Anolis sagrei: one gene and its partners. Each later gene encodes a partner of the first gene's protein in a complex. Links are inferred from orthologs where the notes say so. Each region holds a gene or a part of one and is shown on either strand. Other genes may lie near its edges.

Region 1 (11,330 bases):
AAAACCCAAGGCCAACCAACAGTCAACAGCCAGGCTGTTCCAGAACATCTGTTGCTGGGAGACCAACAACAATGAAGGAAAGACCCACTGTTACAGCCAGCCCTTGGCTTTACAATCTGCTTGGATGTTATTGGAAAGACGGGATGCGGAAGGAAAGAGATTCAGCGTGAGTTTCTATTCCCAACTGAAGAACGGGAAAAGTCATGTTGATGGACAGGAAAAGAGTTAAAGGTGGGCTTAAAGCCAGCCTTAAAAACTGTGGCACAGACACTGAGAAAGAACTGAGAAGCCCTGGCCCTTGAGCGCTGTAACTGGAGGTCAGCTGTGACCAGCAGTGCTGCGGAATTTGAAGAGGCACAAATTGAGGGCAAAAGGGAGAAATGTGCCAAGAGGAAGGCACGTGAAGTCAACCCTGACTGGGACCACCTTCCATCTAGAAACGGATGCCCTCTAATTTAATTCCAGTATTTTGGGGGTTTTTTTCCAAAAACTTCTCCTGACCTTTTTAGTTCAGGGGGTGCTGTGGGTGGGATTGTGTGAGTTTCACATACCATTTCAGTATCTATATTTTAATTTTTTGTAACCACACAGCTACCAATTAATTGCTTTTTAATTGCCTTTTAACTTTTGTATTGCACATTTTAAACTTGTCTAGTGTGTATAGTAAAGGACACAGAGTCCACCCTCAGATGATGTGGGATTTCCTGTCCTTTTTCTCTGGTCGTGTCAAGAGCGACTTGAGAAACTGCAAGTCGCTTCTGGTGTGAGAGAATTGGCCGTCTGCAAGGACATTGCCCAGGGGACGCCCGGATGTTTTGATGTTTTACCATCCTTGTGGGAGGCTTTTCTCATGTCCCCGCATGAGGAGCTGGAGCTGATAGAGGGAGCTCATCCACACTCTCCCCGGATTCGAACCTGCGACCTGTCGGTCTTCAGTCCTGCCGGCACAGGGGTTTAACCCACTGCGCCACCAGGGACTCCTATTTCCTGCCTTGATATCCTGGAATATGGCTGTGTGGAAGGCCCTCAGTGGTTAGACTGATATACCTGGATATCTCTCTGAACTGTTAGCAACGAAGTTATGCCAATGCAAAAATATATAGGAAGGAAACAGGGAGGGAAGAAGGGAGGCAAAGAAGTAGAAAAAGGGGGAGGGAAGGAAGGAAAGAGAGAAGGAAGGATGAAACCAAAGAGCGAAAGAAGGAGTGAAAGAAAGAGGTAGAGAAGAAAGGAGAGAAATGGGAAGGGGGAAAAAGGGGGGGGGGAGGAATAGGTAGGTACTGCTCTTTCATAATAGTCCAGATATCTACCTCTTCTTCGAAAATTCTTACTATATGCCACAGCAACGCGTGGCAGGACACAGCTAGTAAACATATACACAAATATACACACACACAAAACACATATACACAGACTGGGCCACAGCAATGTGTGGCAGGGGACTGCTAGTAAAATATATTTATATTTCTAGAGCTGTGTGGAAGGGCCCTCAGTGGTTAGACTGCTATACCTGGATATTTCTCTGAACTGTTAGGAACAAAGTTATGCCAATGCACAAAATATATAGATCTTCAGAAGTGTTATTTCAGTTGCCCAAAACATTTACTCTCTCATACAATATATTTATATTTCTAGGGCTGTGTGGAAGGGCCTCCAGAGCTGGAGAAGGAAGAAAGTAGAATCATAGAATGCAGTTGGAAAAGATCCCATGGACCATCTAATCCAACCCCCTTCTGCCATGCAGGAAAGGCACAATCAAAGCACCCCCGACAGATGGCCACCCAGCCTCTATTATTATTATTATTATTATTAGTAGTAGTAGTAGTAGTAATAGTAATTGTGTTAGAAACCAATTTAAGGTGATGGAGCCCAGAGGGCAGGGAGGAGACGAGATCCGATGAGGTTTTTCAACAAGTCTTTTATTTTCAAGCTGATCAGCATTGAGACAGACAGCCCTTGACCGTTCAGGTCAAAGAACAAAGACTGCCCGCCCCTTGTGGCTCTCTTAACCAAGTTTTTATACTCAACACTCAGGCAACTTTTGATTGGTCCTTCTATGTTTTTAACATCAAAGCCTATAACAATGATTCTGTTGGAATGTCTGACCCTGAGCTGTGGCTTCTCTATATGCAAGTTGCTTATCTACATGGCTGAGAAAATTTAAGGAGTAAGGGAATGAGCTTACCCCCTAACTTACTGCTTGTATCTTTGACTGAAAAAGAACACAGAGAACAATCATTCTTTCTCTATAGACAGGGCTTCTGGGACTTGTAATAATTGGGAATTTAATTTTCTAAATCACATCTCTCTCAGTAGTAGAAGCAACAACAACAATAATGGAGTTGGAAGAGACCCATCCAGTTCAACTTCTGCCATACAGGAAAAGCACAATCAATATTATTATAGAATCATAGAGTTGGAAGAGACCTCATGGGCCATCCAGTCCAAGAAGGAGGAATATTGCATTCAAAGCACCCCCAACAGATGGCCATCCAGCCTCTATATTATTATTATTATTATTATTAGTAGTAGTAGTAGTAGTAGTACAAGAAAGGAGATTCCATCTGAACATTAGGAAGAACTTCCTGACTGTGAGAGCTGTTCAGCAGTGGAACTCTCTGCCCCAGAGTGTGGTGGAGGCTCCTCCTTTGGAGGCTTTTAAACAGAGGCCAGATGGCCATCTGTCAGGGGTGCTTTGAATGCAATATTCCTGCTTCTTCTGGATGGCCCATGAGGTCTCTTCAAATCTATGATTCTATAATAATAGAGTTGGAAGACACCCCATGGGCCATCTAGTCCAACCCCTTCTGCAATGCAGGAATAGTACAATCAAAGCACCCCCGACAGATGGCCACCCAGCCTCACTATTATTAGTAGTAGTAATAGTAGTAGTGGTACTAATAATTGAGTTGGAAGAGACCTCATGGGCCATGCAGGAAAGGCACAATCAAAGCACCCCCGACAGATGGCCACCCAGCCTCAATATTATTATTATTAGTAGAATTATTATTATTATTAACTTTATTTGTACCCTGCTAGCATCTCCCGGAGGACTCGATGCAGCTTACAAAGGCCAAGGTCTCAATACACAACATAACAATACAAAACCTAAAGCAAATTAAAAACAATTAAAGCAATATTAAACAACAAGCAATAAACAATACACCAAAACACAATAAAACTGGGCCGGGCTAGAGTAATGGGTACAGAATTAAAAGTGCTGATGTGGCAATAATAATAATAATTGAGTTGGAAGAGACCCCATGTGCCATCCAGTCCAACTTCTGCCATCCAGGAAAAGCACAATCAAAGCACACCCGACTGATGGCCACCCAGCCTCACTATTATTATTATTATTAGTACTAATAATAGAGTTGGAAGAGACCCCATGGGCCATCCAGTCCAACTTCTGCCATGTAGGAAAGGCACAATCAAAGCACACCCGACTGATGGCCACCCAGCCTCACTATTATTATTATTAGTAGTAGTAGTACTAATAATAGAGTTGGAAGAGACCCCATGGGCCATCCAGTCCAACTTCTGCCATCCAGGAAAAGCACAATCAAAGCATCTCGACAGATGGCCACCCAGCCTCACTATTATTATTATTATTATTATTATTAGTAGTAGTAGTAATAATAATAGAGTTGGAAGAGACCCCATGGGCCATCCAGTCCAACTTCTGCCATGCAAGAAAGGCACAATCAAAGCACCCCCCACCGATGGCCACCCAGCCTCATTATTATTATTATTAGTAGTAGAAGTAGTAGTAGTAGTAATAGAGTTGGAAGAGACCCCGGAAAATGCACAATCGAAGCACCGGAAGGCTGTTAGAGATTGTGGGAGTTGGTGTGGGCCCAAGTTGGCCTAGGCCTGCTTGAGAGAAGGGAAGGAAGGAAGGAAGGAAGGGGAGGGTGCTCACCCGAAGGTGCCTTGCCCGATCTTGGCCAGCTTCTCGTACTTGGAGACCTCATCGCAGAAGGGACACTCCACCGTGTCGTACTGCTTGGCCATGGCAGAACTGGCGACCCCGACCTCTTCTGGCTGCCGGCGGCTTCCGTCTGAGGGGCGTGCGGCTGCACTTCCGCCCGGCCTCGCCTCCATCCGGGACGCCACTTCCGGTAATCCGCTTCCGCCGCCGCCGCCATGCACGCCGGGAGTCGTAGTTCGAGAAGGGGGCGGGGCTTGCGCGAGAGTCCGGAAGTGGGCGGCGAAATGAGCGGGAAGGATTGCAGCTGCTTCTCCTCTGGCCTGTCTGGCTCTCCCAAGTAACAACAACAATATTGCAATGGTAGAAAACAACAACAATAATATTGCAATGACAGAAAGCAATCCTAACTAATAATAATAGTACATATGTTTATATAGGAATATTGATACCACTTTGAGGGAAAAGTAGAGTACAAGGTTGCAAGTCCGCTTGAGGCCTTCATTAGACTCAGTGGAAAACAAAGCTTTGGAAAGAGGGATCGAAGACACAGGGAAAGCCTGGCTTACAGTAAAGGCAGGAAGTTTGAAATGAGTAATTATTATGATTGGGCTGCTGTGATTTTTTTTGGAACGTGTGCCCATCTTCCAGCAGCATTCTCTCCTGACGTTTCACCTGCATCTGTGGTCAGTGGCATCCTCTGAGGTTCTTTTGTCAGTGAGGCAAGTGGAGAGTATGTATGCTAATAATATTGTGTGTGTATGTATGTATATATGTGTGTTGCGTGCGTGTATATATATGACAAAATTGGGGCAAACTTCCTGTGCGTGTGTGTGTGTGTGTGTATATATATATATATATATATATACACACACACGCACAGGAAGTTTGCCCCAATTTTGTCATTAGTGGGGATCACAATGCTCTTTGATGTAGGTAAACTATAAATCCCAGTATCTACAATTCCCAAATGTCAAGCTCTATTTTCCCAAACTCCATCTGTGTTCATATTTGTGCATATGGAATATTCGTGCCAAGTTTGTTCCAGATCTATCATTGTTTGAATCCACGGTGCTGTCTGGATGTAGGTGAACTACAACTCCCAAACTCAAGATCAATGCCCATGTTAGTCATGGGAGTTCTGGGTGCCAAGTTTGGTTCAATTCCATCATTGGTGGAGTTCAGAATGATCTTTGATTGTAGGTGAACTATAAATCCCAGCAATGACAACTCCCAAATGACAAAATTAATTTTTTGAGTAATGGTCACTCCTTGGGTTATTAGGTGTCTTGTGGCCAAATTTGGCAGCAATTCGTCCAGTGGTTTTGAGTTCTGTTAATCCCACAAACAAACATTACATTTTTATTTATATAGATATATCTTGTAAACCGCTCTGAGTCCCCTTCGGGATTGAGTCTCCTTCGGGAATAGTGCCCAGGGTGGGAGAAAGAACCCTGGTCTGTGGCAAGTGTGAATGTTGCAATTGGCTGTCTTGATTAGCATTTAATGGCCTTGCAGCTTCTAACCCAGACTGGTTGCCGCCTGGGGATATCCTTTGTTGGGAGGAGTTAGCTGGTGAATGGGTTGTTGTAGGTTTTTCGGGCTATATGACCATGTTCTAGAAGCATTCTCTCCTGACGTTTTGCCTGCATCTATGGCAGGCACCCTCAGAGGTTGTGAAGTCTGTTGGAACTAGGAAATTTGAGTTTATATATCTGTGGAATGTCCACCCAAATTTCCTCGTTCCAACAGACCTCACAACCTCAGAGGGTGCCTGCCATAGATGCAGGCGAAACGTCAGGAGAGAATGCATCTAGAACATGGCCATATAGCCCGAAAAACCTACAACAACCCACTGATTCCAGCCATGGAAGCCTTCGACAATAGCTGGTGAATGTTGCAATTAGTATTGAGTGGCCTTGCAGTTGCTGAGTCAATCAGTGAGGGTATTTATTGGCTGTTGTTGCCTGGAGGCATCCTCTGTTTGTCTTTCTAGTTTTTTTTTTCATAACTTTTATTATGTTTTCGCACAGTTGAGTTGAGCTTCAACGTTTTTACCAATTTTAACATATTATCCACAACATAAATTCCTTGAATTAAATAAAGATGGGTGCTGTCCCCTCCTGGACCTAACCGCTTCATATATTATTTCCAAAACATCATTGTTTACACTGCAGGTTTGCTTCCTTGCCCTTCAGCACAGACATGTGCTATCAATTTCCCCCATATATTCCAAAAAACATTTAATTTCCAAATTATTTTTTAGTCTTATGTCAATTTATCGTTTATTGCTATATTCCACACTTCTTTGTACCAGTCTTCTATTATTATTGTTATTATTATTATTCTATCTGAAAATCATGTTTTTATTTCCAATTTTTCGCTATTATCAGCCTCACTGATGTTAGTAAATTGGAAATTAACTCCTTTGTTGTGTTGTCGAAGGCTTTCATGGCTGGAACCACTGGGTTGTGGTGAGTTTTCCAGGCTGTCTGGCCATGTTCCAGAAGCACTCTCTCCTGACATTTCACCCACATCTATGGCAGGCATCCTCAGAGGTTGTGAGATCTGTTGGAAACTAGACAAGTGGGGTTTATAGATCTGTGGAATAATGTCCAGGGTGGGAGAAGGAGCTCTTGTCTGCTTGAAGCAAATGGGTAATGTTGTCATTGACCACCTTGATTAGCATTTAATGGCCTTGCAGCTTGAAAGCTTGGCTGGTTTTGATATTGGAGGTGACCTCCCCCTCCCCCAGGACTCTGTAAAAGATGGTTCAAAACCAAGGAATTCATAGTTTTACCAAGGACACCAGGTTGGAATGATCTCATAATCCCCTATTTTGCAAACATTAATAATTTAAACCAATCAAAAGGACATTTCTTCATTTTTTTTCCTGTTACCTGCCTCCCTTCTACCCATTGGCTGAGAGGCCGAAGCGGCGCTGGCTTTCTCATTGGCTGAGGCATGCCTAAGCCGGCCGCACCTCCCCTCTAGCTGATGACTCCAACCAATCAGCGTGAAGCCGGCTAAGGGGGACGGGGGCGGGAAGTTTGAATTTGACAGCTCTGTTTCTCTATAAAAATGTACTGTTCTGTCTTGCAAAACATGTCAGTTTTTGGCAAGGGATTGCAGCTTGACATCCGTACCAACTGGAACAAAATAAGGGCAATTTGATGGCATTTTCTTCAATTTGGTGAAACTTTTATCGGGAAAAATCAGGGAAAATTCTTTGGGTGCTTCTATCTGTCTTGCCAGGGTGAACGGACTCTCTTTGGTGGGTCTGACTGGTCTCTGTCTCCTGGCAAAGACCCCTAAATTCTTGCTCGATATTAGTTTCATGTCAGGGAAATTCCTGATATTAAACAATCAGGGCCAGTTAACACCTCACAACAAAGGATCCCCCAGGCAGCAACCAGCCAAGCTTTGAAGCTGCGAGGCCATTCAATGCTAATCAAGGTGGGCAATTGCCTCCAAGAGACAAGAGTTCTTTCTCCCACCCTGGACATTCTGGAGATTCTGGTTTTCCGAAACATGCAGCCAAAAAAACTCACAGCAAACCAGTGCTTCTGGCCATAGAAGCCTTCGGTTACGACAACACACTCCTTGAATAAGTAATGGCAAAGGGATCCCTATGAGAAGGCCACCTTAAGCAGAAGTCAGCATGATGGTACACAACAACAAGGACACATGCCTTGGGATGTATTTTTCCATGGGGAAAAGGGAAGTGCCCTTAAGATATGGTTGCACAGCTCCTGTTCCATCCCGCAGGGGCACTGGGGGCGGAGTGACCTTTGTGCTCCTGGTGCTCCACTCTGCTCTTTGGCTGAGTCGCTTCCTTGCTTCCTTTCTCCCCAGGCTGATGTTTTCTCCCTTTTTTTGTAGGATCTCTCATCAGATAAGAGGCCTAACAATGGCTCCATTTGAAGGCTGGCGGACCCTGTCCAGTTTCAAGGGGCTATTTAGTTTCCACAGAGCTTGAAATGACAGTCATGGGTCCGTTATGTGTCTTTCTTTAGGGGCAATCAATCCTCCAACTTAAGCTACTGAGGGAGAACAGGAAGGGGCCTGGGGCTGTTAGGAATTGTGGGAATTCCAATACATCTGGTAGGAAGGTCAAAGTTTACCCATGCCTGGCATATCCAAAATTTATGAATTAGATACAACTTACTAATTACTAATAATTTCGTATATTGTCTATATGAAATTGACGGTTGAATCTGTAGATCTGGGGACTGCAGATACAGAGGACTCACTGTATGTAATTCAATTTGGAAAAAGGAAGTAAAAAAAATACAGTATGCACAAGAGAACTCAGGCTTAGCTTCTCACTCTAACGTAGTGTTGCCTGAACTGACTTTAAGGTAAACAACTTGTTGTTTAATAGACACCCATGAAATTGTTGGTTCCTGTGAATTTCCTTCAGAACTTTCTCATGTAATCTCTCTGAACGACACAATCTATTTTTGTCTCTAATTTATAAACACAGACTTTTGTTGATCTCTGTAGCTATACGTGGATTCCCATGGGAACCCTCCTTATCACTCAGATCTTTACTTGATTCCTTATTTGCTGCTGCTTCTTCTGGCTCCCCTGACTGCCCTTGAGGCCCTGCACCTTCCGAGTCAGTTTTCTCACCGAGAGAACCATCATTTCTCAGACCTGAATTTCCCAGACTTGAGAGCCCATGAACAGGAACATAGAAAACTTCCAAAATTAACACTTGACTTGAACCAGGAACAAGAGAACTCAGGCTTAGCTTCTCACTCTAACGCAGCATTGCCTGAACTTAAGATAAACAACGTATGTAATAGACACCCATGAAATAATTCATAGATACAACATAAGTCCACAATCAAGAAGATATAACTAGTAAAACTTGATAAGGAGTACATGAACAGGAACATAGAAAACTTTCAGAATATCAAATCCAAAATCAAGGCTTGATTTGATCCAAGAACAAAAGAACTCAGGCTTAGTTTCTCACTAATGTAGTTGCCTGAACTGACCTTAAGGTAAACAACTTGTTGCTTAATAGACACCCATGAAATAATTCAGTTTCCTGTGAATTTCCTTCACAGCTTTCCCACGTAATCTCTCTGAATTTTCAGCTCTGATTTATAAACAAAGACCTTTGTTGATCTCTGTAACTACACCTGGGTTCTAATGGTAGCCCTCTTTACTCAACTCTTCACTCGATTCCTTAGCTGCTGTTGCTACTTTTGACTACTCTGAATACCTTGAGGCTTTGCACTTTCGAAGCCAGATTTCTCACAAAGAGAACCATCATTCCCCAGACTTGAATTTCCCAGACTTGAGAGCCCATCACTTTGTGCCACAGGGAAGCGCACAATCCTCTCTAAACCATCAGTTAAGCCATCAGCCTCTGGTGGCTGATCTACAACAACATGGTTGAAGCAAGACTCAAAATGAGAGAAGTGACCGATAGGAACAAGTGGAGAACAAGAAGCAAACAAGCAGACCCTGCAAATTGATGGGACAAACACTAAGAATTATTATTTATTTATTTATTTATTTACATCGTTTCTACCCCGCCCTTCTCACCCCCGAGGGGGGACTCAGGGCAGCTGACATGGGCAACAGTTCAATGCCATAATATCAATACAACAACATAAAATCAAATACATAAAAAATTAACAATAACATTAATTAAAATCACATAGTCATATACTAATGTAGTCGCCTAATCAAAATCACATATCCGTTTACTATTGTCATAATCCCGTGGTCCAGTTCAGTGTCTAAGTGCTGCTAAGACCACTAGCTGAAAGCCTGACTCCAAAACCACAACTTTAGTTTTTTCCTAAAAGTGAGGAGGGAGGACGCCGATCTAATTTCATTGGGGAGCGAATTCCACAAGCGAGGGGCCGCCACTGAGAAGGCCCTGTCCCTCGTCCCCACCAGATGCGTTTGTGACCCCGGTGGGACCGAAAGCAGGGCCTCCCCAGTAGATCTTAAATTACGAGGTGGAACGTAGAGAGAGATACGTTCGGATAAGTAAGCTGGGCCGGAGCCATATAGGGTTTTATAGGCCAAGACCAGCACTTTGAATTGTGCTTGGAGGTGGACCGGCAGCCAGTGGAGCTGACGCAGCCGGGGGGTGGTATGCTCCCTGTATGGCGCTCCGGTGAGTAATCTGGCTGCTGCCCGTTGGACTAGTTGAAGTCTCTGAACAGTCTTCAAAGGCAACCCCACGTAGAGTGCATTGCAGTAATCTATTCGGAATGTAACCAGAGCAGTAATAGTTGCAATAATCTATTCGGGATTACTGTTCGGGATAAGTACATTGCAGTAATCTATTTGGGATGTAACCGGGATGTAGGAAGAAGAAGAGGAGGAGGAGGAGGAGGGAAAGGAGGTAAATGAACCAGGAGTTTGAGATTTTTTTTAATTTTGGGGTTTTAGCTCCCAGAATCCCCCATTAAAAGAAAAATAATTTTGGCAGAATCCGCGATGGACCACTGACGTCTTACAACCAAAGGAGCAAGTGTTGGGAAAGGGCACGCAGAAGCATCGTGTGCCTTTTTTTTCCCTCTCCTTTCTTGAGTTTCATTCTCTCTTTTTTTAAAAAAAGGATCAAAGCAAACGCAGAGAGTAGGGTTGTGCAAGTGCAGAGGAAATGTGAGCAAAACAGAAAGCGAGAAAGGGCGGGGGGAGAGGGTGGGAAAGGAAGGCAGGCTCGGTGCCAAGAGGGCTTGATGAAAGTTGTAAGCCTGGTGCACATTTCTTCTCCTTCGTTGGAACCCAAACCATGGAAGGAAGCCAGAAGAGGGGAGGAGGCTTCAAAAGTAAGTGAACACACCGCAGGACACCGATTTGCTCACTCTGGCCTTGGCTGGAACATAGGTCGGCATTACATCTCTATAGAGTAATGGCATCTGTGTGAAAGAGGAAAGTCTCTCCTGGACTGTGATGAAGTTGCCAAGGTCTTTTCTGGCAAACAAACAAGGCAAATGTGGGCTAGGCAAAACTATGGTTAGGTGGATCTGTACAGTATTTCTCAACCTTCCTAATACCGCGACCCCTTAATACAGTTCCTCATGTGGTGGTGACCCCCAACCATAACATCATTTTTGTTGCTACTTCATAACTGTAATTTTGCTACTGTTATGAATCGTAAGGTAAATATCTGATATGCAATATGTATCTTCATTCATTAGACTAAATTTGGCACAAATACCCGCTACATCCAAATTTGAATACTGGTGGATTCGGTGTGGGATGTGTGTGCATTTTGTCATTTGGGAGTTGTAGTTGCTGGGATTTAAACTTCACCTACAATTAAAGAGCATTCTGAACTCCACCAAGGATGGAGTTGAACCAAACTTGGCACACAGAACTCCCATGACCAACAGAAAATACTGGAAAAGTTTGGTGGGTGGGC
Region 2 (10,613 bases), on another chromosome or scaffold:
AGTATTATGAAAGAAATTTCAGGTTACAAAAACGCAATCTTCATATCAAAATGGGTTTACTTGTCATAACAAAACCAATGCTTAAAAAATATTTCAAGGTTGTTTGTAAGATCTTGAAGTCAACCCAGGGGAAGGTTGATTCATTCTCCTAGCTTGTTATTAGTAGAGACTTTCAGCCCAGCTGCTAATTAACATGCTTCCTCAATTAGGGAACAGTCAAAAAGCGAGTCCTTGTTGGCATCAGCAGTCACAAACAACTATGAGCACACACTGAATTATCCTATTCTATTTTTTACCAATACAACATGGCAACAAGGAACTTTCCTACATTGAATGGACTCGAAATTGTCATACAAGCACACACTGTTTCAGCTGCATTTTTGATTAAATGTTTGCACAACTATTTTCTCTTCTTAACACATTGATTATTTCATGAGAATATTTTGGCATCAATGTGTGTTTTAACTAAAAAATCACATCATGGGAACATACTTCCATAGCAGAAGAAATGTGAACATACTCTACAAGAATACAAATTCTATCAGAAAACTAGAATAAGAGAAGGATGCATTAGAAAGTAGGGGGCATGTCAAACAAACCATGAGGAAAAAAAAAAGCTGTCTCCAAGCAACTGCTTGAGTTTTTCAGAAAAACTTGCCAAATATATTATTTTGTCTGTGCAAACATGATATTGGGCCAAAAGTCACAAATGTGCCTGTCTTTTAAAATATTTTTTGGAAATATTTTACATATAATTCTCTAAAAATACAGTATATGATGCAATGGCATTGTAAATCAAAAACAAAAAAGGTGTTATTAAATATTACAACCCTTTTGTGACTTTTGGTCCACCTTGTACAAACACAAGTTTTTGAATAAACCAGATACTGTGTTTTAAAGGCATTTTTTTGTAAAATTACAGTGAAGCTATTTAGAACCTAAAATATAAACAGAGCCCAAATTATGTACTTTTCATAGTTTAATTCATCCAAGGCACTTTGTTATTAGGATTCATCATTTAACAATTGTCTCAAATTCTTCAACTCTCCTTTAAACAAGAAGTTCATAATGGTTTCAAAAAGGCTGCCATTCTAAGTAGTCAAGAATGGAAACAATAGTAAAGTTTTCCCCTTGGCATTAAGTCTAATCATGCCCGACTCGGTGGGGCATCTCTATTTCTAAGCCGAAGAGCCGGCTTTGTCCATAGACGCCTCCAAGGTTATGTGGCAAGCATAACTGCATGGAGCGCCACTACCTTCCCGCCGGAGCAGTACCTATTGATCTACTCAAATTTGCATATTTTCAAACTGCTAGGTTGGCAGAAGCTGAGCCTAACAACGGGAGCTCACCTCACTCCCCAGAGTCAAACCGCCAACCTTTCGGTCAGCAAGTCCAGCAGCTCAGCGGTTTAACCCGCTGCACCACTGGGGGGCTCTATGGAAATAAAGTCTATTTTATTTCATACTTCAAGTATTAAAAGTAATTATGATTTAAGACTTAAACTACACCTCTTCTCCCTAGGTATGAAGAAAACTTACCTCAATATTGGGTAAAGTTATTGTCACCTGTTCACCTTTACCAACTTCAAGGTCTCCTTCAGAAGATGTATCAATGGATGCAGGCTTGAAGTCATCTAAGAAAAAAAGAGGAAAACAGACAATGACAATATTTTTCAGGACTTCAACACTGATCAGGTCACAAGAGGGAGGGAAATGCGGGATCTTTCCCCTGGTGTCTTTTCCACTGCTGGCTGATTTGCCATGTTGAACCAAAAGTGCATAGTTTTAGATATGTTAATGTCTATTCTTACTGAATCGTGATTTGATAAATAAATAAATTGAATTAATCTGCTAAATTCAATTAATCTGCCTGAATTAATCTGCTAAAAATAGGATTAATCTGCTAAAAATAGAAGAAACGTCAAGATTAAAGAGCATGGTAGAGAACTACACAATCCACAAACACACACAGTGTGTGTGTGTGTGTGTGTTTAGGGCTAGCCCTCAGATGCTGTACTATAATAACTCATGCCACAGTAAGCTATTGTTAGGATGCCTTTTTAGGTTTATGTGGCACAACCTGTTGTTGGCTAACATCTGGCAATTTCCGGGCATCCTAAGGCCCGTCGCAAACTCTGTTCCTGCGGGAGAAAACCTTGCTAGCATGTCCCTGACGTCACGAGACTCTGCCTCTCGCCCCGCCCCTTTCTCCGCCCCTTTCTCTTTGCCAGCGTGGTTTTTCCTTTGCTAGGGCAGCATTGCCCGCATTTTCTCTCAGTTGGCTGAATTCAACTGAGAGAAAATGCGGGCAATGCTGCCCTAGCAAAGGAAAAACCACGCTGGCAAAGAGAAAGGGGCGGAGAAAGGGGCGGGGAGAGAGGCGCAGGCTCATGACGTCAGGGACTTGCTAGCAAGGTTTTCTCCCGCAGGAACCTAGTTTGCGACGGCTCTAATGTTCCTTTCCCAAAACCACAGAATGGTAGTTCCCCATTTAAGTTTGCCAAGTTCTCTTTTCCCTTGTGTTTGATTCTTAGAAGCACTGTAGATTATTGCAAATAATGGAAACCACCAGATGAAAGTGATATTCTCAATGAGATTAACATCAACACAGGGGCTAGTTCCTCCATACTTAAGGGAAAGATAAAGATTTCCCCTTACATTAAGTCTAGTCGTGTCCGACTCTGGGGGGTGGTGCTCACTTCCATTTCTAAGCCGAAGGGCTGGTGTTGTCTGTAGACACCTCCAAGGTCATGTGGCCAGCATGACTGCATGGAGCACCGTTACCTTCCCGCCGAAGCGGTACCTATTGCTCTACTTACATTTGCATGTTTTCGAATTGCTAGGTTGGCAGAAGCTGGGGCTAACAGTGGGAGCTCACCCAGCTCCCCAGATTCAAATTGCCAGCAAGTTCAGCAGCCCAGCGGTTTAACCTGATATGCCACTGTACTTTCCATACTTTCCTTACAAATATGGGAGTTTTTCAAAATCAATTTACTCCTTCCTCATACTCTCACTGCTTTTGCAAAAAAGAGCAATTTTTGCTCATTCAAATAAATTAACTAAACACAGATAGAGTCTATAGTTCCCCTTGTACCCAAAATATCTCATTTAAGGACAAATTGCCAATATTCTTCACATTTAAAGACCAGTATTAGATGAATTAATAAAGATGATAAATTGACAAATTTCAAAGAAACTTTCAACAGACCACCAATTATTTTTTGACTTCCACTTATTTAAAAGGAGTAGGAACAAAATGACTACTGTAACAGGGTCATGAATGGTACTCTCAAAATGAAGAAAGCTCAGGGCAAGCAAGATTTTGAACAGATCTCAGGATTCCAGTAATATGCAAAGTGCGTCCTATCTCAAGCATCCGTTACTCTAGAGTAGTCATAGGTAAACTTTGGCCGGTAGGCTGTCAGGAATTGTGGGAGTTGAAGTCCAAAACACCCAGAGGGCCCAAGTTTGCCCATGCCTGCTCTAGACCCAACTATAAGTTCAGCAATATCCTTTTAATGAATGTGAATTTGGTTAATATTTATGCAAGTGCCACCAATTATGAAGATGTTGATTATTATTATTATTATTATTATTATTATTATGTATATGCTGCTTTTTCTCTTTTGTGTATTATGTATATACCCCTTTTCTTATAGAATCATAGAATTGGAAGAGAGCACATGGGCCATCCAATTCAACCCCATCCTGCCATGCAAGAACACACAATCCAAGCACCCCTGACAGATGGCCATCTAACTTCTGCTTAAAAACTTCCAAATGATGAGGCTCCACTTCCCTGCTTTGAAAAAGATACCAATGTATAGTTGGGATTCACACTTGGATCTAGTCATAAGTCTCACGCTTTATTTTTGGCACCAGTGTCCCCAGCTAACATCTCCGAATAATGGCTGTTATAAAAACCGAACTTGTCACTTCATCAACATGCCACAAGTTTTGCATTTCTATGGTTCTTCACACAAGAAACTATCAGGGCCAGCTAATCATCTCCGAACAAAGGATTCCCCCAGGCAGGAAGCAGCCAAGCTTTGAAGCTGCAAGGCTATTCAATGCTGATCAACTGCAGCTTTCACACTTGCCTCAGACAGACACCCTGGGCATTCCACAGATATATAAACCCCACTTGCCTAGTTTCAAGCAGACCTCACAACCTCAGAGGATGCCTGCCATTGATGTGGGTGAAACGCCAGGAGAGACTGCTTCTGGAACATGACAATACAGCCCAGAAAACTCACAGCAACCCAGCTCTTCACATTGTCTGCTCATAAAAGTCACTCTACTCCATGCAACAGGTGACTACAAAAGTTTATGCTTACAATTTATTTCTCCCAATCAGTCTCAAAGGTGACACAAGATCCCTTTGCATACTGATTATGTTAAATAGCTCAAGGTTCCTCCTCTCCCAAAATCTTCTGAACTCTCCTCCCCATTGAAATCCGAAGATCCAGCGCTTTGCTCGACAGTCCTTTCTTTTACCTTCTGCTTCTCACCCTCACTCAATCCAGATTGCAGAATTATAGCAGTTTAACACCACTTCGACTGCTAATGTTCCATCCTATAGAACCCTAGGATTTGGAGTATGGTGACAACCCAGGGAAATCTACACTGTTTCCCAAGCTCTGGCCAGCCAGGTGCTTTGGACTTCAACTCCCAGAATCCCTCATCATTGACCAAGGTAGCTAAGGCTTCTGGGAGTTGAAGTCCAGCATCACTGTGATCAAAGAATTCTGAACATTCCAGCCCTTCTGGACTTCAGATCCCAGAATTCCTGGCCGTCGGAAAAGGTGGCAAAGGCTTCTGGGAAATGAAGTCCCAGACCCTCCTGGCAGCTTGAACGCCGGTCCAGCCTCACTCACAGCGGACGGTGTGGAAGGCACAGCGCGGCTGCCTCTCGAAGCTCTGGCCCAGCCGAAGGATGCGCTCCTTACAGTCGAAGAGCGGCGGGGCCGCCCCGTTCATCCCCCCGCCACACGCAGTCCTGCGCTCTGGTCACTCTCGAAGAGATGCGCTGCCTAGCGCTGCCACAACTGCCCGCCCCGCCTCAGCCAAGCCACACAGCTCACAAAGGCCACGCCCCCTTCCCCTCCTGCCTTCCTTTCATTGGGCGACTGCGCCGACACCACGCCCACCTGGATACGTCCCGCCCCGTTCTGGGGACAAGCGTGACGCAAGAGAACTGTGGCTTTTTTGATTGGTTAGCGACACTGCCACTGTCGCTGAATGAAGAAAGGTTGAAACTCCCGGAGCGCGAGAGAATGCTGTTTATGCAAATTAGGGTGGTTTAGGGCGGGGCGACGGGCAGTGGCGTCTCGCTCCGAGGATGGCGGCGCTGCTGATTGGTGGGCTCCTTGTGCCCTCACCATGGTAACTGGCCGTTGGTAGGGAAACCTCACTAGTGTTTCCGGTCGGGAGCGGAAGCGGTTGAGAAGTGGATCAAGAATGCCTTGATACCTGAAGATAACTTGAGAAGAAACGTTGTTCTCCAGGTCTTCTAAAGGAGTGCGGCTTCAACGGTCTTTATTAGTGTTCTGCATCTATTGTTGTTGTTCATTCGTTCAGTCGTCTCCGACTCTTCGTGACCTCATGGACCAGCCTACGCCAGAGCTCCCTGTCGGCCGTTACCACCCCCAGCTCCCAGCTCCTTCAAGGTTAATGCAGTTTGACACCACTTTAGGTGCAGCGGCTCAATGCTGTGGAATGAATCCCGCGAATTGCAGCCTGGTGAGGCCCCAGCGCTCTTGAAAGACCTTGTCAAACGAAAACTCCCAGGATTCCATAGTATTGCGCCATAGCAGTTCAATTGGATCAAACTGCATTAATTCTACAGTGTAGATGCACCCCTTGTGAAGGAGAGGCCTCCAGGCCACCCTTATTATGAGCAAAATGCATCCAGAGATGGCTTTTTCTTTTACCAATCTCTACTCCTTATCAAATTTCCATATCTATTTTTGCGCTAGCATGTTGGTGTTAACCTAACTTATCTTATCTGCTTCCCCGTTGTCTCTGTTGCATTGTTTTCAAATGCTCAGTATGGGATTCTGGGGCCTGCTGTTTCCCTTGCCTGCTGTAGGTAGGCACAAACAGTTATAATAATCCCATGGAGTATAGAATCCAGCTTTTTCCAAGCTATCACGGCAAAAGTATGATAGCTGGGACCCAATTCTGGTTGCGTGACGAGGGTCAGTTAGAGAAGCGAAGACGTTACATATTTGAACGTGCTTGCATACGATATCCGGATAGCCTTAAGTAGTATGCTTGGCTATTTGTTGACCTCCCCCCCCCCCCCCTTTCTGGCAAACTATTTTGCCACGACTCTGTCACAGCTGTGTCTCTCACTCGTTGTGCTGTCTTGGCATTGTGTCCCAGCTATCATACTTTCGCCGCTATCACTTTATTATATGTATTTCTGATATTTTGTTGTAACCTGACACTGAAAATGTGTGTCATTCTCCAGTATATCATTAAGAGCCTTCCAGTGCTGATGCAGCTAAACAACCTTTCCAGCTAGACAGGATAATGAGAAAAAAGCGAGGTGAATGCGAATTAAAAAGACTGCCAATAAGGGGCATCTTCAACAGAGGCTTTGTTAACTGAGGCCCCTTCCAAACAGTTGAATAAAATCCCACATTATTTGCTTTGAAGTGGGATAAATGGCAGTGTGGACTCAGATAACTCAGTTCAAAGCCAATGCTGTGGGATTTTTTGCCATGATATCCTGGGTTATGTGACTGTGTGGAAGGGCTCTGAGAAACATCTTTAGTACTTCTGCCCTCAACACTCCTTGTAGTCCAACCCCGCTTTCCCCATAACTGTTAATTTGGTGGCCCTTCCACACAGCCATATAACCCAGAATATCAAGACTGAAAACCCCACAATATCTGTTTTGAACTGTGTTATCTGAGTCCACACTGCCATATATCCCAGTTCAAAGCAAATAATGTGGGATTTTATTGAGCTGTGTTGAAGGGGCATAAGAAAGCCCAAATAGGGCAGGTGGTTTAGCATACAAGGAGTTCATACTTACATTTGGCATATCTATTTGCAGAGTCGAACTGGTGGGGAAGGAAGGGTTGCTCTCATGTGTTGAAATAGTTATGGTTATAACATTAAAATAATAAATTGACATGACAAAATATTCTTGTAGTTATAAAAAGCTATTTGTTTCAGTTTTGGAGGCATGCAATTATCTGATGATAATTCTATAAATGATACCTGGTGAATCACAGTATATGAAATTATCTGGAAATGATTTACTGACAGTCAAATCTAGGTCTCTTTGTTCTGACTGACAGCTGATCTTAAACTTCTGCATCTTTTATGCGAACCCATTAAACTGAAAATGCTAGGGAATGAATCTGCCATAAAAGTATATTTTCAACTGTAGCTGCGAGTGGGACAACTCCCCCGGCTCACCAATATTATAAAGGTAAAAAGATGAAAGTATCTTTAAGAAAACAGAATTTGTGAGATTCTTAATGACATTTGCCTTCAGAACATATCTGGTGTTAATTTTATTAGACACATCATCTAATCCACTCTTCTCCAACCGAAGGCAAATATCTTGCTGGTTTTGTCCTCCTTTCTCTTATTAAAATACAGCTGTCCTATGAAATGAAGCCATTACCTGTGGATCCCAGAATATTGTCACTGGCTGCCCAGGTCACTGAAAGCTCAGGTCAGGATGTCCCTGGGCTACTGCTAAAGATAAAAGGTAAGTATTTATTTATTTGCTTAGGAATTGACAATATTCTACTAATCTATCCTAAAATCTCTAGTGCCATAGGTCCCTTGGTAATACTGTCACATCTTATGCGGGGGGTGGGGGGGGGGCATTTTCCCCATTTACATCAAGGTGTAGTCATCTCAACATTAGGCTTTTTCTTTTATAACAAGGTATGCATCTTCTTTCAAAATGAAATTGCTTTTCTGGGAAGCAAGGTCTGGGAACTGAAAATGAAACCCACACTACACATTTTCCATTCCTGTTTTAACTTCAAGACAAATATGTACATGAGACAAATATGTACAAAGCCTCTTATATAACAAATGAACCTGAAATTTATTTCATTTATTTATTTACTTTGTTTTATTTCCCGCCTTTCCCCCTCATTGAGCATCTAACGCTAGGCAACAATTTAATGCCGTTCAGATATAATACAGTACTGACTCAAAATACATAAAAATAAAAAAACACAAAGCTTAAACAACAATACATTTGATAAATTCAAAATTCATTATCACAGTGCTCTATCTGATGACGGTTTTTGAAATAACACCTGTGCTTCTTTGATGTTTTGCTCCAAATTTTATGAGTATGAGTATAAAACTTGATTTGGGGTTAGAAAAGCAAGAGAATTTATTAGCATGGAGTAAGTTAGTTCTTCCTATGTCCCTTCCTAATAGAGTAGCTGTAAGAATGATATAGTCATCAAGGACCAAGGTCTTAAACAAAAATCATTTGCAAATAACTAAGTCTATCATATTTGGTCCTTGTCTGTATTGCCGGTGATCAGGCCATATACTACAGGTACATTAATTTTAATACAATGCATTTAATAAGAATAGTCAACCCTGATTGGGAGTTATGTGGGTTTGTTCACAGAACCTATAAGTATTTTCAAGGAAAATAGGTGCAGGAATTAGGGACCAGATGGAGCAACAATGAGGCATGTATATGTTTGCTAGATTTCACCTAGGACAAGAGGAGCCCCTGGTGGCGCAATGGGTTAAACCTTTGTGTCAGCATGACTGCTGACCGACAAGTCAGCGGTTCGAATCCAGAGAGCAGGTTGAGGTCCCTGTGTCAGCTCCAGCTCCACCTGTGGGGACACGAGAGAAGTCTCCCACAAGGATGGTAAAACATTAAAACATCCAGGTGTCCCCTGGGCAACATCTTTACAGACGGCCAATTCTCTCACACCAGAAGCGATTTTCAGTTTCTCAAGTCGCTCCTGACAGGAAAAAAAAAACTAGGACAAGGCTTCTGTTCTCTTTATGTTACCATGGCAAATATTATTCCTATTTAAAAACATTTCATTCTCAAGAGAGACTGAGGAAAAACCACAAAGGCATTATAGTTAGAGGAACTCTGAATTGCTAGAGGACTACTTTCCAGTAAAGGAAGTCTTTGTGGGCAAAGATTGCTAATTCTAGCTGTGCAGAAGAAGGAAGTCTTACCCTCTGATTACCAAAACCCCATTTCAGTATCTGTCTTGTTTTGTGGCTATAATTCATGCTTGTTCAAAGCTTTTTCTGAACCATCTTAATCTTTACTTAGGTGTGCTTCCAGTGCTGCTAAAGTCTTGTCTGTGCCATTATCCTGATTGCTTTGCCTGTCTTACCTTGCCCATCAAATCTAACCTGTAGGTCAAGGCTGGGCAACTTGTAAATGCAAATAATTATTGGATTGCAACTCCCATAAGCTTCCACCATGATAACCGAGGGAAGTTGTAGACCAATAGCATCTGGAGGTCACAGTTTGCCTAATCCAGCTATAAGCACTCTAGGTGTGAGATGCCAACTCGTTCTTCTTGATTTTGTACATCTATTGTTATACCTCAGTATATGATAACAGCTATAGTAATAAGGCAGAAGAGGCAGGAAATGTGGGACTGTATTATCAGTTCATGTTAACTGTTCAAGAATATGTTTTTAAAGAATGGGTTAAAGTTCTGTGTTATTTTACACTCTATGATTTTTAATAGTTTTAATCTTTTAAATTGTATCTCATTAAGTATAGCTTTGAACTGTTTAAATACTGTGATTAGTTTTATTGTTCACTTTTTGTTTGTCTTTAGTCATGTTGTTCTCTTCAAATTGTATGCTGCCTTGAGTCCCAGTTCATCCACACCAAAATGAACTGGGAGAAAGATGAGTTACAAATAAATATGATGGTGGTGGTGGTGATGAAGTGAATGCAGCCTTTATTGTATAAATCAGGAACATGAACGTTTCCATTTGTTTTTATGCCCTAGATATTTTAACAAGTGTTGTCCCTGGAAGTAATGAATTACAAAAAATTAAGCAAGACTTATACTATTATGATCTGGTTCAATACTGCCTATTTGTCCTTAAGCAAGATTATACAGGAGTGTTAGGAGGTTGGACTACTGCTGCCCAGTTAGCAGAGATACTAAGGTAAAGCATCTTGTAGTTATACGGCTTTATTACTGAATCACTTGTAACTTTTCTGTTTTTAAATTTTTGTGTGGCGTGTATGTGTAATCAAGATATGGATGTATTACCTACAAATGCTAAGGGGGGAAAAGTATGCATATGTTTTGTTTTCTCAGCATATGTTGTGTGGGTCTTGAGGTGAAAGAAGAATCTGAGGAATTTTACAATAAGCTGCTTCCATCTGCTGTAGACAACCTTCTCTTCTTAGGAAGGCGCCTGCAGGCACGATTTGTCCGTGCAATCAAGGTATTTCAACTTGCTGGTTTAATGCTCTAAAGTGGAACTGTTTTGTAACTCGTGCCTGTTGTTGTTAATCATGGACCAGTGCTGGACAATAAAAGTGTTACTGCACAGATTGAGTTAATAATGTGTTGAACACAATAGAAAAGAGCCAATAGAAATATTTTAAAGATACAT
Region 3 (10,434 bases), on another chromosome or scaffold:
AACAATACTAAGAATATTTTAATAAAAATTAAAAGACCAGGCAAATACCATAATTCAAGTCAGAGTTGTATGTTGCAGAGTGTTAATATGTGTAGTATGGAATGGTTTTTTTTTCTTTTAAAAGGATGGCTAAGCTATATAATAAAACTTTATTTATATTCCGTCCTACCTGCAAATCCAATCTCAGATCCTTCTGCTCTGTTATTCAAGAATGCTGACACAGTTACCAATTAATTGCACTATAATCTTTCAAATAGCTCTAAAATATTACAGCCTTACAATGCAATGAATCTTTTTACACACCCAACATGAGAAGGAACTAGATTAATTCAAGAGAATATTTTCAAATCTACCTCTTGACTGAGTCTAGGTTCACTGCTATGAAAAAAAGAATGTGATGTAATCTGTTGAGGACACATTTTAAGCCAAATTTTGCCAAATTCAACTGAAATAATTTATTTGTATCTCTATATACCATTTTTTACTCAGAAAGCATCAGTGAGTTTTGGGAATGGACTCTTAGTTGTCCATTCCCAAGGCCTTATCAAATTCGCTTCCTTTGATTTTTAACATTAGACACTTCCAAAAAATATTTATTAATTTATACTGGAAACACCTGAAGCATGACTGTTGTCCTCCTAATAGAAAAATAATTTCTAAAACTGATTTATTCTACAACAGCTTTGGAACTACACTAGTTCCAACACACCTTTATACAGATAATGTAAAGATATGGTATCACAAACTTATCTAACTTTGAACCAAGGTATGTTGTACAACATTGCTGCAACAAAATATACGACCCATTGGCAATCTTGTGCCTTTAAGATGTAGTTAGAGTACTAGAACAATTTGTGCCTTGACTGCTGCTTGGGGATGATGGGAGGTGTAGTCGAAGGTGGTTAGGTTGGGAAAAAGGAAGAGAGACTGCTCAAACTCCTGGACTACTGTGCTCTTCCAAAATGCTAAATCAAGCTTTACAACATGCAGCTTTGATCAGACGTGACAGCTCCTTTATGACAGTAGGACTTCTGAATAAGAAGCTATTGACTGACAGACCTAAAATATATATGTGAAGGGTTGGTACACCGCATCTCATCACAGAAACTACAACTGCTGCATCATGGGATAAATGAAGCACATCTCTTTTGCCTGAAGCCCATGACATTCACATAAAATTGTACATCTCAGGATAAAACTACAACTGCCTACAGTCTTCCAGCAAAACAAAATACTTCTATAGTAGCTCTAACTTGAGATGCTTCCATGGAAATTATGGATCACTCAGGCTGTTGTTGGACTATAACTCCCAGCATTCCTTAACCCTGGAAACTGTGGTCTAAAAATACTTGGAAGTTTCTAGTGCTGAAAAAGGAGATTTTGCAACATTTCCACTTGTTTTTCCTCCATAATAGATCTTTTTCTAATAAGACAAAAAGGTAGCAGAAGCAACCAAAAATCATAGGATAGTTACATATAGAAGATGATGCATTTGGGCCCTCCAGGAAAGACGATCCAGAACTTGGAATGCTACTTTTGAAAAGTAATTTGCTAGTGCTGTTGGATTTTCTGTTTCTGTTTGTGTGTGTGTGTTTTTAAATAACTTGTGCCTAATTGTGATTCATTACTGGTTAGTTACATTTTATTTACTTTTAAAAATGTACTTTGTAATACTAATAAAAATAAAAAAAAATGACCATAAATCTCCTGAAATCAGTGTTTTGGATCAAAATAACACAGGTTATTCCAAAAAGCAACACTGTTACAGTTACTTTTAAGGTTACTTTTCCAAGTAAAGACACTGCCAACACCATGCTCTATAGGTAATGTAGTTATTTGGCACAAGTTACTTCCAAATTGGGCAGCAAAGCCATCTCTGGAAGATGAAACTCACTTCACGGCAGGATTTTAGTTCTTCAAACTCTCTTGTTGTCCAGTGTCTATCCTTGAAAAAATTTGTGCTGTTCCTTTTGTAAAACAAGTCCCAATTCCTTTGTGCTTCTTTCTCAAGCTTCTGTTGCTTGAAATCAGATACTACGACTGGATCTTTGGCCAGCCTTTCAGCTTCTTCGGGGCTAAGCGTTCTCATCTTATGTCCTCTTCTATGGAAACCTCCATTTTCGAGATCTGATATTACCCCATCAAGTTCAGCTGCAGATGACTCACTCTGGAGAAGCCTCAATTCGTTCATTTCGATTAAAGGAGGAAGCGCAGATTTGTAGTCACTGCATTCCTTAATCGCATACTTCTAGGAAAGAACTAGATTCAAGACGACAACAAGGGAAAGGTTACCATTTTATATCTTCCACTTGAGAACACAGCAAAATGATAACAGGATCTTCATGGTGATTCATTTCCCTATAATATCACTTTTTATAAATATAAATACATTTTTATGCAGAAGAAAAAAGCAAAAGAAGAAACAATGTCAACAGCAGATGTAAGCCTCCCACAATAGATTGGGATACAGTAACCTTCCCTAACCTGTTGTCTTCTAATATGTCAGATCTCAACCACAAAACTGTGCAATTCGGGGGAGAAAAATAAATTTAGGAAAACTGCTATACAGGCAGTCCCTAAGTTACGAACAAGATGGGTTCAGTCGGTTTTTTCTGAAGTTGAATGTACATGCATGTTGCAACAGGTAAATTTTAAAGTGTAAGTCCGGATTATTTATATATATGTGTGTGTGTGTGTGTGTGTATGTGTACACACACACACACGCTGGTGGGTCAAAATGTTTTGTCTCCTGTGTCATAAAATGTTATAAATGAACATATAACAGCAGAAGTTGCAACCAATCATAGCCTGAACTATCCTCTACTCAAAACTACAGTTCAACATAGTCACCATCAATTTGCACATATTTGTGGCATCATTTAACCCAGGCATCAAAACCATTTCAGAAAAATTCAGGGTTTTGCTTCATGACCCATGATTTTAAAGCTGTTTTAACATCATTCAACCCATTGAATCTGAAACAACGTAGGTTGTCTTTCACAGGAGCTCTGGCTTCTCTGTGTAGTCTGACACTGAATGACGTTAAAAAAGCTTTAAAATCATGGGTCACAAAGCAAAACCCTGAATTTTTCCAAAATGGTTTTGAAGCTCAAATGAAGCTTTCTCACCAATCCCTGTTTCCACAACAAGCCACATTTTCCAGAGGGACAGAAAATGAGGTGAAATCTTCTGAACAGAGGCCCCGTTCACACAGCTGAATAAAACCCCACATTTTCTGTGAAGTGGAATATATAGCAGTGTGGACTCAGATAGCCCAGTTCAAAGCAGATATTGTGGGATTTTCTGCCTTGATATTCTGGGCCATATGGCTGTGTGGAAGGGCCCAGAGACACAGGATGCAAAACAAACACCACTGGGGTGTCAACCCTTCCCTATGCGATCCAAAGCTTTTATATATGAAATATATATATGCAGGCAGTCCCCAAGTTGTGAGCAAGATAGGTTCTGTAGGTTTGTTCTTAAGTTGGATTTGTACTTTTTATCAAGTGTTACTCCAGCCATATATTTGTGTGTGTGTGTGTGTGTGGCTAGAGTTAGACCAGGCATAAGCATACTTCGGCCCTCCAGGTGTTTTGAACTTCCAACTCCCACAATTCCCAACATGTTAGGAATTGTGGAAGTTGAAGTCCAAAACACCCGGAGGGCCGAAGTTTGCCCATACCCGAGTTAGACTTTAAAAAGTATCTGTTCTGACTCAGGGCCCTTCCACACAGCCCTATATCCCAGAATATCAAGGCAGAAAATTCCACATTATCTGATTGTAGATTCAGGCCCCTTCCATACAGCTGAATAAAACCGCACATTATCTGCTTTGAACTGGAATATATGGCCGTGTGGATTCAGATTCCCCAGTCCAAAGCAGATATTGAGGGATTTTCTGCCTTCATATTCTGGGATATAGGGCTGTGTGGAAAGGTCCAATATCTGCTTTGAGCTGGGTTATCTGAGTCCACACTGTCATATAGTCCTTTGCAGAAGCATAGGAGAAGCTCGGCCTGTCATTAAACATTGAGAAAAACAAAGTGCTCTTCCAGCAGTTGACAGTCAGCCCCTCTCCAATGCCAGAAATACAGCTTAATAGTGTAACCTTGGCAGCTACCTCTCCACCAAAGTCAACATTGACACTAAAATACAACATCGCCTGAGCTCTGCAAGTGCAGCTTTTTTCCAAATGAAACACAGAGTGTTTGAGGACCAGGACATCCATAGGGATACCAAGGTGCTTGTTTATAAAGCTATAAAACCGCCGACGTTGTCCAGATGCCCGACCACCGTCTCCCAAAGTAGTTGCTCTACTCCGAACTCAAGAACGGAAAACAAAATGTTGGTGGGCAGGAAAAGAGATTTAAAGATGGGCTCAAAGCCAACCTTAAAAACTCTGGCATAGACACTGAGAACTGGAAAGCCCTGGCCCTTGAGCACTCCAGCTGGAGGTCAGATGTGACCAGCAGTGTTGTAGAATTTGAAGAGGTATGAATAGAGGGCAAAAGAGAGAAACGTGCCAAGAGAAAGGCGCATCATGCCAACCCATAGGGCTCCACAGTCACCTACGGACCTACCGCCAGGACACCGATCTTGGAAGACAATCCTACTAGGACAATGAGGGATCACCTAAGAAACTAACATAGTCCAGTTCAAAGCAGATAATGTGGGATTTTATTTAACTGTGTGGAAGGGGCCCTTGTTCAAAGAGGATATTGTGGGATTTTCTGCCTTGATATTCTGGGTTATAGGGCTGTGTGGAAGGGCCCTGAGTCCACACTCAGATATTGTGTGATTTTCTGCCTTGATATCCTGGGATATATTAATGTGTAGAAGGGGTCTTTGAAACAAATTCAACTTAAGAGCAAACCTACAAATCCCATCTTGTTGGTAGCTTGGAAACTGCCTGTAATTCTACAGCGGTGTCTCTTCTTTTGCCTTCCTAAAAGGCCTCAAGAGCTACAAAGCCGCCCCCACCAACACGCACCGCTCTCCTGAGGCGCTCTGTCCATGCTCAGAGGCGCCCTTGACTCATCCAGGCTCATCCTCCCTCTTCTTCTGTGGGATCTTCTTTCTCTCTCTTTCTGCGAGGCCTAAGCAGCCTGCTCGCCTTCCTGCCTCCTTGCCAAGCGGGGAACCCTTTCGCGGTGACACCAAGCCCGGAAGAGAAAGCGAAGGGAAGGGAAGGAGGGAAGGGAGGAAGAGAGGGAAGGAGGCAAACGGCGACCGGCATCGTCGTTGCGGCCTGCGGAGGCCATGAACGGCTCGGCGAACCCGCTGCTGGACAAGGAGGAGCACCCGCTGCAGCTGGGAGAGAGCTTCGAGCGGCACCCCAAGGCCTCCTTCCACACCATCCGCTGTGAGTGGGACCCGGTTTACTAGGCCGCGATGCGCACAGGCCTGTTTCCTTCGGCCTTTGATTTGGGACACAGGCGTTGGAGTGGCTCAGTGTTTGGGACTTCAAGCCCCTTTGGTTTGGTGGCATCTCCATTTGAGGGTTTGTTTTAAAGGGGGGGGGGATGTATAGAGTGTTCCCCAAAGTCACAATCAATAGAGGAAATGTAACTTTTGTTTACAAGGTACTCACTACCAACTCTTCTCTACCCTTCCTCGAAGCCTTCTCTGTCATTCATATCTATCTATCTATATCTAATATAAATAAAAATGTAATGTTCGTTTGTGGGATTAACAGAACTCAAAAACCAGTGGGCGAATTGACACCAAATTTGGACAACATACACCTAACAATCCAATGTATGTCCTTCACTCAATTTTTTTTGATTTTGTGATCTGGGAGTTGTAGTTCTTGGGATTTATAGTTCACCTACAATCAAAGAGCATTCTGAACTCCACCAATGATGGAATTGAACCAAACGTGGCATGCAGGACTCTCATGACCAACAGAAAACACTAGAAGGGTTTGGTGGGCACTGACCTTGAGTTTGGGAGTTGTAGTTCACCTACATTCAGAGACCACTGTGGACTCAAACAATGATGGATCTGGACCAAACTTGGCACAAATATTCTATATCTCCAAATATGAACACATTTGGGAGTTGTAGTTACTGGGATTTATAGTTCACCTACAATCGAGCATTCTGAACCCCACCAACAACAGAACTAGGGTAAACTTCCCACACAGAACCCCCATGACCAACAGAAAATACTATATATATAAACCCCTTTTCCTAGTTCCAACAGACCTCACTACCTCTGAGGATGCTTGCCATAGATGCAGGCGAAACGTCAGGAGAAAATGCCTTTAGAACATGGCCATATATTCCGAAAAAACCTACAACAACCCAGAAAATACTGTGGTTTTTGGTGACCCTTCTGACACCACCCTGGTGACACCCCCCCCCCCCCCGGTCTTGACTTCCCAGGTTGAGAAATGCTGCCTTAAGGCCATCCAGTCCAACTCCCTTCACCAGGGCAAGAAAACATAATCAAAGCCCTCCTGACAAAGAGCCATCCAGCCATTCACACACACATATATGTATAATGACAGATGCAGTATCAAAGATTTGAAAGGGACCCCTAAAGAAGGACAATGATATGTTGCATGTCCAGAGTAGGCAAACCAGACAATCTCCACATCAACACTGACAAAGAAACAACAAGAAATACTTTTAACCCACAAGCATAAAGGCATTACATATATTAGAAACCAACATTGTCTCATTACTTTATTTTCCAGATCACCAGACAGGGCCACAGCAACGCGTGGCAGGGGACCACTAGTACAATATATAATCTAAGGCAGGCCTGGGAAAACTTTGGCCCTCCAGGTGTTTGGGACTTCAACTCCCACAATTCCTAACAGTTGTTAGGCCCTCCAGGGAGTTGAAGTCCCAAACACCTGGAAGGCCAAAGTTTGCCCAGGTTTGATCTAAGGCCCCTTCCACACAGCTGTATATAATCCACATTGAACTGGATTATATGGCAGTGTGGACTCAGGGCCCTTCCAGACAGGCCCTGTATCCCAGGATCTGATCCCAGGGTTTCTGTTTTAAACTTGATTATATGAATACTCACTGCCCGATAATCTGGGATAATTCTCTACAAATTGCACTTTTCATTGCTATCTCATCCAGAGGTTTATCATTTTATGCCATACATTTGGCCCACCCATTGTGTTGGATTTTCTATTATGTTATATTGTATTATTTATTTTATTTGATTGGTTAATTTTTACTGTGATGTTATTTTGTTGTTTATATTTTATGTTGTTGTAGTGTTTTGCTGAGCTTGGCCTCATATAATCCGCTTTGAGTCCCCTTTGGGGTGATGGTGGTGAGATAGAAATAAAGTTTATTGTTGTTGTTGTTGTTAACAGAAAACCTGGGATCAGATCTTGGGATATAGGGCCTGTCTAGAAGGGCCCTCAGATAACCCAGTTCAAAGCAGATATTTTGGATTATCTGCCTTGATTTTCTGGGTTATATGGCTGTGATATAATACAATTTTCTCAATTTCTCCCTCTATGTATATAGAGACATTGGGGACACTACCTGGCTTGTAAAGAGTCTGCCTTGAGTTCCTATACTGTACTATTTATAATGGTTTTGTATTGTATTTGTATTTTTTATATTTTATTGCTGTGTTTTGTTGTATATTGATGTATTGCATTGTTGGGCTTGGCCTCATGTAAGCCGCCCCGAGTCCCCTTGGGGGAATGGTGGCAGGGTATAAATATTTTTAAAAAAATATATATCATTATTATTATTAATCTGTAATAAACAGAAAACCTGGGATCAGATCCAGGGATATAGTCCTACATTGCCATGTAAAAGACAGATTATCTGCTTTGAACTTGATTAGATGGCAGTGTAGGCTCATCTAATCCAGTTCAAAGCAGATAATGTGGATTATCTGCTTTGATAAGCTGGATTATATGGCAGTGTAGAAGGGGGCATAGTCTCTTCCATCATAAAATGGAGGACAGGGGGAATGTAGCAGCACCTTTGACTTTGGATTTTTTCTATCAAACAATTTCAAGCCATGAGTAGTTAGACCTATGGATGCAGTTGTGCAGAGGGCTGGCTGGTAACAGCCTTTTATTTTAGCATGAGCTTTCATGGACAGCAACCCACTTCTTTTTTTCGTTAAAGATGTTAACCTTTAAGTAAAGATATATAGAAAAAAGATAGAATCATAGAGTTGGAAGAGACCTCATGGGTCATCCTGCCTAAAAGCAGGAATATTGCATTCAAAGCACCCCTGACAGATGGCCATATATAGAAAAAAGTTTTAAAAGGAAATACAAAGAAGTAAAAGGAAGAAAAACATGACATAATTATTCATATCTCACTTTCTAACATTAAGACAGTTTCTCTTTTTTCCTACAAGTAATTCCTTCTAATCTTCAGAAGGTTACTAGGTCTGTTTTTTTTCTTCTGGTTATTGTTTTCAAGAAAGCCCATAAGGAGTTTCCAGCAAAAAGAACCCCATTATGATCAAACAGATATGAACCCACTTCTTCACAACTCACTTTGTACTGCAACTGAAGCAGAGAGTTGATAACCATGAGAGCTCATGCAAGAATAAAAACCAGTTCGGCCCCTTCCACACAGCTAAATAAAATCCCACATTATCTGCTCTGAACCGGGTTATATGGCAGTGTGGACTCAGATGGACCCAGTTCAAAGCAGATATTGTGGGATTTTCTGCCTTGATATTCTGGGTTATATGGCTGTGTGGAAGGGCCCTTAGTCTTAAAGGTGCTGCTACATGCATACTGTAGTTTCAGGTCTCTGAAAAATGGAGGAATGAAAACCACTTTTGTTCTTTTTGATTTCCTGAGGAGTTTGCCTTCCCTTTTACTAACCCTACTATTATTGTACCATCAACAGCTTCATAACCAAATATTTAGGTGGTGCTGCCTTTCCTGTTGTGAGAATAATTACTTGGGAAAGCTGGGAATAATTGTTGGGAAAGGTGATTGGGCTGCTGTTCAAAACTCAGGAGCTGGACTACTAGAAAGTTGTCAGTCCTCTCATTCCGATTACAAGCCCGATTGCCAGTGCCAAGATGGAAAAGTCAGCAGTTTACAAAAGAGTGGCTGTAATTGCTTGCAGCAGCGAAATCAAGGCCCATATGCGACTTGTTGCAGATTAAATTGGTGTTAAAACAGTAGTGAGAGGAATCAACTAGGATATATAAACCCATTTCCCTAGTTCCAACAGAGCTCACAACCTCTGAAGATGCTTGCCATAGATGCAGGCGAAACGTCAGGAGAGAATGCCTCTAGAACATGGACATATAGCCCGAAAAAACCTACAACAACCCAGTCAACTAGGAAGTTGGCATCCTGGACTTGAACATGTTTCTGTGAAACACATTATCGTTTGGAAGATTGTCCTTCTCCATCTCAAAGTGTGATCACTTATCTTTCTCCCTTTATCACATTGGATTAGCATCCAGTAGGTTGCTGTTCATTTTTCCAGACAAAGGACTGTATGTAAAGTAGAATAAACAGCCAGGTTTGCCAATTCCTGTGGTGATTACAGTGTACTGCAGACATCAAATCATATTAATGCTTATTCAATAACGTTAGAAATTCCATTTGATTTCTCTGGAACAATCTGCTGTTAAAAGCAGGAAAAACGGGCCAGGCTGCATCATTTATTTAGGTCAGCAACCTGCCTAGAGTTGTTAAAAACTAAGAGAGAAGGAGTCCTTTCACACTGCAAAATTATAGTGCTAAGTTCCATTTTGACTTCCATTGTTCCACCCTATGGAATTCTGAGGTTTTCAGATGATGATAATAGTGGTGATTATTTTATTCATGTATAGCCTGCTTTTAATGGTAGTCAAGACAGCTTAAAATATATTTTGAAACACTAAAGAATTGTACAATACACTCCAATAAAATAAGATAAAATTAGAGGACAACTAGTCATCTACAACTAATGTGGATATTTTGTTTAGATTTATGTTATTACAGAATTTTGTCTGATTACATGTAGTTTAATTTATTGATGTCAGGTTTAATTTACTGATTGTAGGTCTTAATTTGATGTTAGGTTTTACTGTTACTTTTATATGTGGGGGTTTTCTGGGATTTTATGTTAGTATCATGTGTTTTTTGTAGGCATTGAATGTTTGCCATTGTTACTGTATGCTGGAATCTGCCCTGAGTCCTCTTGGGGAGATGGGGCAGAATAAAAATAAAGTATTCTTCTTCTTATTATTATTATTATTATCAATGTATAAAGTTTAAAAAAGCCCGATGGTACAAGAAGGTACAACTAGACAGTTCTCCCCAATGTAGAAGCCCCTGGGGGTCATAGGATGGGAATATGGTGGACACATTGTAGAATCATAGCACTGTGGTGTGAAATAAGGATGGGTAAGTTGTCCTCTGTTGTCAGACTTGTCCTTCTGATGTTGTTTTTCCTTGCCACTGACAGTGCTGAGTAAGGCACCCTG

What was found.
Region 2: CDK9 (region 1) and EAF2 share a complex: the UniProt entries of both Homo sapiens proteins name them as parts of the super elongation complex. The link is inferred for Anolis sagrei from reciprocal best matches to the Homo sapiens genes CDK9 and EAF2.
Region 3: CDK9 (region 1) and EAF1 share a complex: the UniProt entries of both Homo sapiens proteins name them as parts of the super elongation complex. The link is inferred for Anolis sagrei from reciprocal best matches to the Homo sapiens genes CDK9 and EAF1.

What each region holds. Positions count from the first base shown.
Region 1 is NC_090031.1:16,133,757-16,145,086, forward strand, and holds the start of CDK9 (cyclin-dependent kinase 9), read right to left. Parts: upstream 4,109-11,330; 5' UTR 4,105-4,108; coding exon 3,923-4,104; intron 1-3,922. Other genes in the region: SH2D3C (SH2 domain-containing protein 3C), read left to right, coding at 10,698-10,734. UniProt on the Homo sapiens protein: Protein kinase involved in the regulation of transcription.
Region 2 is NC_090021.1:222,035,295-222,045,907, forward strand, and holds the start of EAF2 (ELL-associated factor 2), read right to left. Parts: upstream 5,085-10,613; 5' UTR 4,980-5,084; coding exon 4,877-4,979; intron 1,634-4,876; coding exon 1,539-1,633; intron 1-1,538. Other genes in the region: IQCB1 (IQ calmodulin-binding motif-containing protein 1), read left to right, coding at 5,604-5,741, 7,620-7,731, 9,995-10,157, 10,313-10,442. UniProt on the Homo sapiens protein: Acts as a transcriptional transactivator of TCEA1 elongation activity. Acts as a transcriptional transactivator of ELL and ELL2 elongation activities. Potent inducer of apoptosis in prostatic and non-prostatic cell lines.
Region 3 is NC_090026.1:80,126,156-80,136,589, forward strand, and holds the start of EAF1 (ELL-associated factor 1), read left to right. Parts: upstream 1-5,174; 5' UTR 5,175-5,259; coding exon 5,260-5,362; intron 5,363-10,434. Other genes in the region: tRNA N(3)-methylcytidine methyltransferase METTL6, read right to left, coding at 1,895-2,191. UniProt on the Homo sapiens protein: Acts as a transcriptional transactivator of ELL and ELL2 elongation activities.